Linked DNA regions of Schizosaccharomyces pombe. The gene in region 1 interacts genetically with each later gene. Each region holds a gene or a part of one and is shown on either strand. Other genes may lie near its edges.

What was found.
Region 2: mutations in sbg1 (region 1) and rga7 are lethal when combined (synthetic lethality), as found in Schizosaccharomyces pombe (one study listed by BioGRID).

What each region holds. Positions count from the first base shown.
Region 1 is NC_003423.3:1,434,264-1,437,987, reverse strand, and holds sbg1 (actinomyosin ring linker protein Sbg1), read right to left. Parts: upstream 1,752-3,724; 5' UTR 1,711-1,751; coding exon 1,165-1,710; 3' UTR 513-1,164; downstream 1-512. Other genes in the region: RNA-binding protein Mrd1, read left to right, coding at 2,075-3,724.
Region 2 is NC_003423.3:2,109,925-2,115,007, reverse strand, and holds rga7 (Rho-type GTPase-activating protein Rga7), read left to right. Parts: upstream 1-1,932; 5' UTR 1,933-2,113; coding exon 2,114-4,201; 3' UTR 4,202-4,523; downstream 4,524-5,083. Other genes in the region: mat1-Mc (M-specific transcription factor Mc), read right to left, coding at 1-526; mat1-Mi (M-specific transcription factor Mi), read left to right, coding at 661-789; cms1 (U3-containing 90S preribosome complex subunit), read left to right, coding at 4,651-4,993, 5,050-5,083.

The sequences.
Region 1 (3,724 bases):
AGAATTGAATGTAAATACGTGTAAACATTTTAGCAAATGTTTTACGCATTCGAATAATACTTAGTGGATTATTGTCCGTTTGATATTACCAAATAGAGAATCCCAATGAGAATATTTAAAAAAATAACGCACTCAACCACGATGAAGGCAGCAGCATGGAAAATGCTGAAAAAAGAAATGTAAATGTCAATTATACGGCTGAATAGTCAGACGTTTTAACAAGCCGGGTGTAAAAATTTTTTTGATCTATTCAAGCGCTGCTTTATTTTTATAAAATATGTACTGGCATTGTTGAAAGCTGACTTTTAGTTCATCATGAACAAAATAATATATTTCGGCTTTCCGAATCGTTAAAATGCAAGAAGTAATTAATGTTACAAAAAATTAAAGATGCCATTTACTTCAACCACTCCTCGTCTATTGTTTTCATACACAAATGAAACGGAAACCGTGTAACCTTGCTACATACTTTTAATACAATTAACACTTTACGGACTACGTGGAAAGTGTAAGACAAAAGCAGAATAGCATAAGTCCTTTATTCATGATATAAGTGCTGAGAACGGAGCTTACTCATCCAAGCATATAGACACACAATGCTCTTTTTTTTTTAAAGAATGCTTGAATGGGCACACGTAGCCGATGTACTGAAGGCATATTTACTAACTGATTCATTACCTATAATTTGAGTTAGTCTAACCATGATAGGTCATTAGTTAAATGACTCGTATTTGCGAAATAGAAACCAAATATTATTTATGATGCAGTAAACGATGAATAAATCCAATAAATGAAAGATTTAGAGATTGAACTTTAACGAAATAAGAAGGGCTTGAGGAAGATGCGAGGAACTGGAAAAGAATGATGTGTAAGAAAAATAATAGACATTATCAAAGAAATAGGCAAAAGGTCAAGCACAACTAGTTGAAGGCAGTCGGTTAGACGAAATATTAGAATCTGTAATACTAATGCAAAAAGAGCATACGGAAGAGAAAGTAGTGAATAAAAGAAAGTCCAAGAATTCGTGGTACTACCACAAGGATATAAGAAGCTCAAAAAAATGGAAATGCAATAGAAAGAAGAAATCATCAAAGGAATGAGAAAATAGATACGAGAAAAATCCTTCAACAAGTTCTTATTGAAAGTAAATGAAATCAAAAATACTCAGTTTTTCTTCCTTTGCTTTTCTACTTCAACAGCTGATAAAATAGGATACCCGATGAAAAGCATTAACAATCCACAACTCAGAAGAATTAAAGTCAAAATATTTACAAATCCACGCAAAGTAAAAATATTCAAATCGCGGCCATCATAGAAATCTTCATTGTGCAAAATATCATCGACTTCCTTAACACTAGGATCCCATAAAAGTGTAGCAGACTGCATAGTCACCGGAGACTCCACGGTTCCCAAGGAACTAGCACTGCCAAATGCTGATTCTGATGGCCCAGTCAGTTGTGCTGAGGCAATTTCATCTGTATAAGGAGAATACTTTTTCTCTGAAAAATCCTTGACATGAAAGTCAGAAACAGAATCCATCGGCTGTATATCATGGCCTACGGGCTCTAGGTCTTCTGATTCCCAAATGTCATCGTCGTAAGGCTCCTCATCACCGGCTGAAACTTCGTTAGCCAACTCGTAATTCAATTCATTATCGAGCATATCATCTGGCCTTAAACTTTCATTATAGTCTATAGGTGACTGAGACATTTTTTTCTAATTAGTACTCTGCCTCAGTTGTTTGGTTGTTTACAAAGGAATTTACTCAGCCGAAATAAAATACCAATCACCTTAGAATACGTTGTTAACATTACATAAGAGTGTTCGACAATACGTTAATGAATATTAGTCAGTTGCAGCAAAAAAGTAGCGCATCTACGCTATACATAATTTCGAGCTACTATGACTCGATATCTCAAATTAGCAAAAGCTTTAATAATCTTAGGAATGTATACTGAAGTTCGTTGTATGTCGTTCGTAAGCACTAAGGTTCGAATTTTTCTGTATGGTTTTCTCTACTCTTTTGCATACTCCAAAACTGTAGAGATTTAGCAATTGTCTTTGAACGCGCGCCATGTCGCGTATAATTATAAAAAATATTCCCCGCTACTATGACAAGGAGAAGCTATCAACATATTTAAAATCTTTACCTCAGTTGGATGCTGAAATCACAGACGTTAGCGTAGCCAAAACAAAAGAAGGCGTTAGTAGACGATTTGCTTTCATTGGATTCAAAAATGAAGAGGATGCTGATAAAGCGATTCGTTATTTGAACAAATCTTACGTTGAGACTTCTCGTATCGAAGTTCATCGAGCTTTGGATTATCGATCGGCTAACGAAAAGCTTCGACCTTACAGTAAATACGCTTCTAAAAATATTGAATTGAAACTACAAAAAAAAGAAAAGGAGGAAGAATTAAGAAATTTGGAAGAAGAGAAAGCTAAAAAGAAGAAAGATGCCAACCTGAAGAGAAAGTTTTTAGACACACTTGATCCCAAGGCTCGAGAGTTTTTAAAACTCTCTTCCTCGATTTCTAACTCAAGGAGTTGGGAAAATGAAGAAGTTTTTGATACTGAAATTACGAATCCTGTTATTCCAGCTGATGAAGATGATGATGAATATCAGGATCTTCCTGCTGCAAAACGACACGAAGGTGACTCAATTAAATCTACTGAACATGACAGCACACTTGACTCCGGTGTAGTAATAGACGGAAGGGAAAAATCTTCTTCGGAGCTTCATGAAGAAGAGTCAGAGCAAGCTGCTGAAGGTGATACCGCCAAAAATTCAGGTACTGATGCTCAAGCACCGTTGTCTGATGACGAATGGCTCAGGCTCCACAGAACAAGAATCAAAGAAAAACAACCTGAAGAGGAAGTTAGTGTTGTTGGTGATGAGTTAAAGTCCTTTGACAAAGAAAATAATGACGAGCATCTTGAAAGGGTTACGAATGATAAAATTGCGGATGCATCCATGCTGCAAAAGGCTGAAAATAATGTTTCCGAGCAAGAAAGAAATATTCAGCTGATTTCTGAGACAAAAAGATTATTCCTTAGAAATTTAACCTATAGTTGCGCGGAGGACGATTTAAAATCACTTTTTGGTCCTTTCGGTCAATTGGAACAAGTTCATATGCCTATTGATAAAAAGACCAATAACCCCAAAGGATTCGCTTACATTGATTTCCATGATGCAGACGACGCGGTGCGTGCGTATTTAGAATTAGACGCAAAACCCTTTCAAGGTCGGCTTTTACACGTTTTACCTGCAAAAGCGCGTTCTAGTATCCTTCTAGACGATTACGCATTAAGCAAGCTTCCTTTGAAAAAGCAAAGAGAACTCAAACGTAAGAATACTGCTGCTTCTAGTACCTTTAGCTGGAACTCATTGTATATGAATGCTGATGCAGTCGTGACATCGCTAGCATCGCGCCTTGGCGTTAAAAAGACTGATATCCTCGATCCCACCTCATCTGATTCTGCTGTGAAGCAAGCTCTTACTGAGACTCATGTTATTCAAGAGACAAAAAATTTCTTTGAGGAGCATGGTGTTGATTTGGATGCGTTTAAGAACGCAGCACGATCGGACAACGTTTTACTAGTCAAAAATTTTCCATACGGTACCTCGGCTGAGGAGCTTACTTCACTTTTTTCGCCATTCGGTGAGCTTGGTAGAATTTTAATCCCCCCTGCTGGGACGATTGCTATTATTGAGTTCTTAAAT
Region 2 (5,083 bases), 680 kb from region 1:
TTCTAGGCTGGTACTTATAACCAGGGTACATTTTCTGATGTTGTGCTTTATAAAACTCAGACATCTTAAAATATCGCATACGTACTTCCTTTGATTCGTTTCTCCACATCTCTCCAACCAGCTTGGAAACTTGTGAATTATTGATGGAAGGGTTAGACTTTAATAATGTAGCATGTTTTTCCTTCCTGTATAATATAAAAGCATTAGGGGGTCTCGGAGTACGTTCAGTAGACGTAGTGTCTTTCCGTAAACTCTTCAAAATATAGCCGGGAACTTTACATTGATCCAATGTGAAGGATATTGGTTGAGGTCTTGGCAGTTGTGCAGAATTCCCATCCAACAGGTAGCTTTGTGAGTTAGGAATGAGTATAGGAGTAAAGCCATCAGGAACAAAGTAAGCAGCACCTTTGCCAGTTTCAATTGAATGAAGAGCATCCTTTGTAAGGTATCTTTTAAAACACCAGTCTGGATCTAAAAAGTCGTAGGAAATAGGGGAACCCGCTGATAATTCTTGGTGTGAGTCCATTGTAGTTGTGAGTGCAAGGTAGGTGTAGAGTGTGGAGGGTATTTAACTACTTACAGAACAAAGAAACCCAAAAACAAAGGAACAAAATACACTAAAACACAATAATTTAATCTAAAGCACAATACATACTAATAATGTCAGCAGAAGACCTTTTTACAATTCAAATCCTATGTGATCAAATTGAGTTAAAACTTGCATCCATTGTAATAAATTCTAACATCAAATTACAACTTAAACGTAAAAAAAAGACACAACAATTATAAACTACATATAAGCAGGGTTCAGTAAATTGGGAAGGCGTTTCTGGCTATTAGGTTGTATGGCTATTAAATTAAAGGTTGTATGCTATACAAATGCATATGCATATGCATACAGAAAAATACTACCTCTTCCAATATTTTTCCTTCAACTACTCTCTCTTCTTTTCCTACCCTTCTTCTCACTCTCTTTTCCTTTCACGGCTAACCCACTATTTTCTCTCCTTTCTCTTTCTTTGTTCCTACCCAAACAAAGAAATAGTTACCATAGCTACTACAACAAAGCAAGCACTCATCCCACTTAATGTGGGGTCCCCTAAAGAATTCCCGTCTAATGAGAATTAGGAACGTTTCATTGTCAAGTTCGTTATTAAGTTATTTAAGAAAATATAATACTGATTAAAAATATATCGGTATAACAAATACAAAAATTAAACAGTCGCAATAAAACATGTTGACAAACCTGTAGTCATAGAATAAACATAATGTTATTATATTAACAGTAGGCTCTAAGGATTTATTATTGTTTTTACATATTCGTTCATGACAAAAAAAGTATTACAAACAACTTGCAATAGAATAATCCTACTTATTTGTTCTTTTCATTCACCTAATCCTCTCCCCCATTTGGAAAGGGTATGGCATTTTACTCGAATAACGCAACCAACTTTCTGTCTCCTTATTTTGCTATCCCCCACTTAGAAAGGGTATGACACTTTTCCTTAAATAACACAATCAACTCTTTCTCCTTATACCCTTCTTCCCCTTACCGCCTTCCTACTCACCTCAGTCTTTACCCCCACGTATCTCTACCTCCCACTTGGAAAGGGTATGACACTTACCTCGAATACCACAGTCAACTCTTCCTTCCTTTTCAACCCTCCCTCACTATACTTCATCCCACTTAAAAAGGGTATGGCAGAAACGTTATACAACGCAATTTGTATTTTATTCTTTTCCTTTACCTTCCTATCTTAAACTCATTTTCATCCCCCACACTCAACCTCCCAATTCCAAACTTTTAGCTTCGTTACATCTCCGTAATTTGAACTACTCATACCTCCTTAATCCTCTTTATCTCTTCCTCTACCGTCCTCTCCTTACCCTTTCCTCGTTTACATCCTCTATACTCGCTATACTACTCAAACCAACCACCCACTACCAATTCCTTACAAACAAAGAATTCACCCTTCTTTCCTCTATCATTCTTTGCTTGCTCAAGTGATTTTATATATTTTCGCGTTTACCGCGCTTCTTTTGTTATTTTTACTCTTTCTATTCTCTCACTCTATTTACTTCTCTTGCTCCCGCCCATCACTCAACTCCTTCAATGCTGTCGGCTCCCTCCTCCTCTACCACTCCCGCTTCCCCACCAACATCGCCTCCAAATACCACTTCCTCTGATGATTTCGCAGTTCTCAAAGAACCAAAAGTCGAAGCGATCCTCAATTCGGAACTTGGTCTAGCAATCCTAAATGATCGCATTAAAGACTACCTCCTCACTTGCAAAGAACTCGCCGGATTCTTTAAAAAGCGTTCCATTCTCGAAGAAGAAAGTGGAAAAAATTTACAAAAACTTGCTAAATCCTACCTAGAGACGTTTCAATCCAAACACCACTCTCCCCAATCTTTTTCCGCCTCTGTCATTACGAGTATGGAAATTCATGAACAACTTGCCAATCACAGTTTAACCCTTCAAAAAACTCTTTCTGCATTTTCCGATCAAGTCATCGAATTTCACAAAAACGCAGAACGCAAACGAAAATCCATCAAGGAATATGCGAAAAAACAAGAAAACGCATATTTAGAAGCCGTTATGCAAATGGATAAATCCAAATCTCGCTTTAAGGGTGCCGAAACCGAGTACAACCGCGCTCTCGACAACAAAAACACTGGAGACTCCCAGAAGAAGGTTGGTTTTTTTAAACCAAAATCTAATGCTCAGCTCACCAAACTCGAAGATGAAGCTCGCCTTAAGGCCGAAAATGCAGAATCAGATATGCACAGTAAGATTGAAAACGCTCAAAACGTTCAAAAACAACTTTTGTGTATTCACCGACCAAACTACATAAAGCAATTCTTTTCCCTTCAACGCGAAATTGAAAGCTCACTCATTGCAAACTATCTACGGTACACAAAGCTCTGCGAGTCAAACACCCTGCTCAACGGTCTCACAATCCGTCCACAAAAGCCCACTCCTACCAACTGTGGTTTACAACATGCTTTGGATAATATAAATGCAAATACCGATTTTGTTCAATACGTCCTTCACGCCTCCATCAAGCATGAAGATAACAAAAATCCAACCGACGCTTCTAAAACAAAAATCATTCAACCTCCAAGCTCTTACGGAACTGGTTCCTCTGCCGGAAAAACCAATCCACCCGTCAACCCCACCATCAAGGTTACTGCTGCTATTCCCTCTCCCCTACAAAACACTAATCCTGCTCCATCCACTTTTCCCAACCCTTCTGTGGCTTCCCCTGCCTTCCCAAACTCATCTACTTCCAATCCCTCTACTGCTCCCGCTTCAGCCTCTCCTTTGGCTTCTACCCTAAAACCTAGTACCGCCAATGACACAAACGGTTCTTCTTCATCCTCTTCTTCCAATCCTCGTACCTCTTCTCCACTCGCTTCTAATGCAGAAAACAAGCCCCCTGTTGCCCAACAATCACCTCCCGTACTACTTCCTACTTTACCTCCCATCCAGACGACAACGATTCAAACGTCTCGAGAAGTCGCACCACCGCCTTCTAGCATCAACTCAAACCGTGCTGCATCTCCCTTCCGACCAACTTCTGTCTCCCCTCAACCTTCCTCTCCTACGAAATCGTTACTCTTTGGTGCTCGATTAGACGCAATCATTCTACGAGAACATTCCAACATTCCAAACATCGTAATGCAATGCACTTCCCAAGTCGAAAATTTTGGTCTCAACCTCCAGGGCATCTACCGTGTTCCCAGCTCTTCCGCCCGTGTCAACATGTTACGTTCTCAATTTGAGAATAATCCTCTCTTACAATTACATACACCTGAGGACTATGAAAACGACGTTCATGCAGTCGCTGATCTACTAAAAATCTTTTTCCGTGAACTACGTGAACCGTTAATTCCCGACAATCATCAAAGAGACTTTATCGACGCAGGTAACGTTGAAGACGAATCCAGAAGAAGAGATGCCGTCCATCGTGCGATCAACGATCTTCCCGATGCCAACTACTCTACCATTCGTCATTTAACCATACATCTTGCTAAAATTAAAGAAAACAGCGATGTAAACAAAATGTCGACAAACAATTTGGCCATTATTTGGGGACCTACTATCATTAAGCAAGCTACTATCCCAGAAATTAGCAGTTTCTCTAGAACTATCGAAATTCTTATCGACTATTGTTTCACAATTTTTGACTACGATTAAAAGATCATTTTCTGTATTATTTACTGCTTACCATCTTTTTTTTCTCTTTTTATATTTTTTTCCTTTGCGTCAATAAAGCACACTTGACACTATTCTCTCTTTCTTGGATTTTGTATGCTTCCACCTCTTTCCCCTTTTTATCCCTTTCCTTACCTTGTTTTTATCCTAAACTTTTGTTTGTCTACAAATTCATTCTTTTCTTTACTGTCAATTCCGTTCACAATTTTAATCCATAGTTTAGACAACCTTCATAACGTAATAATGGAAATTATCTACGATTTTATAAACCAAATGAATTCCTTTTATTTTTTTTTCTTCTATATAGACCTTCAAATACTCTATATTTTTGTAAACGATAGATTTATATTTTTTTTTACATTTTTCCTGTACTATTCGACGGTCCACGAACTGAACGTATCCCTAACACCAAAATTTTAAAACATGCAATTATGAGCTACACGACAACAGACGCTGATGCTTTGGATGATCAACTTGATTATCAGGTAGATTTAGTTTCAGAAATTTCAGTTTCGGATGAAGAATCTGCACAACCTACTACAATAACTGAAAATTTTACTGCTTCTCAAAACAACGATTCAGCGAAACGTGAAAAAAGAAAAAAACAACGCCAAAAACAAAAGGAAAGGAAAAGAGCTAAATTGTTAGAACTACAAGACACAAACGCTTCAATCATCCAGAGTCCAGACACGCTGTCCGATTTGTTAAATAATTACATAAAAAGCATTTATAGTGATCTTACCGATGTAGAATTGTCAGATAAAGTGATTAAAGGTATAATTGCTTATTATTCTTTTTTTTTTTACTTCACTTTACTAACTCACTATAAGCATCTTACATTGAAGATACGATCAGCTTCAGCAA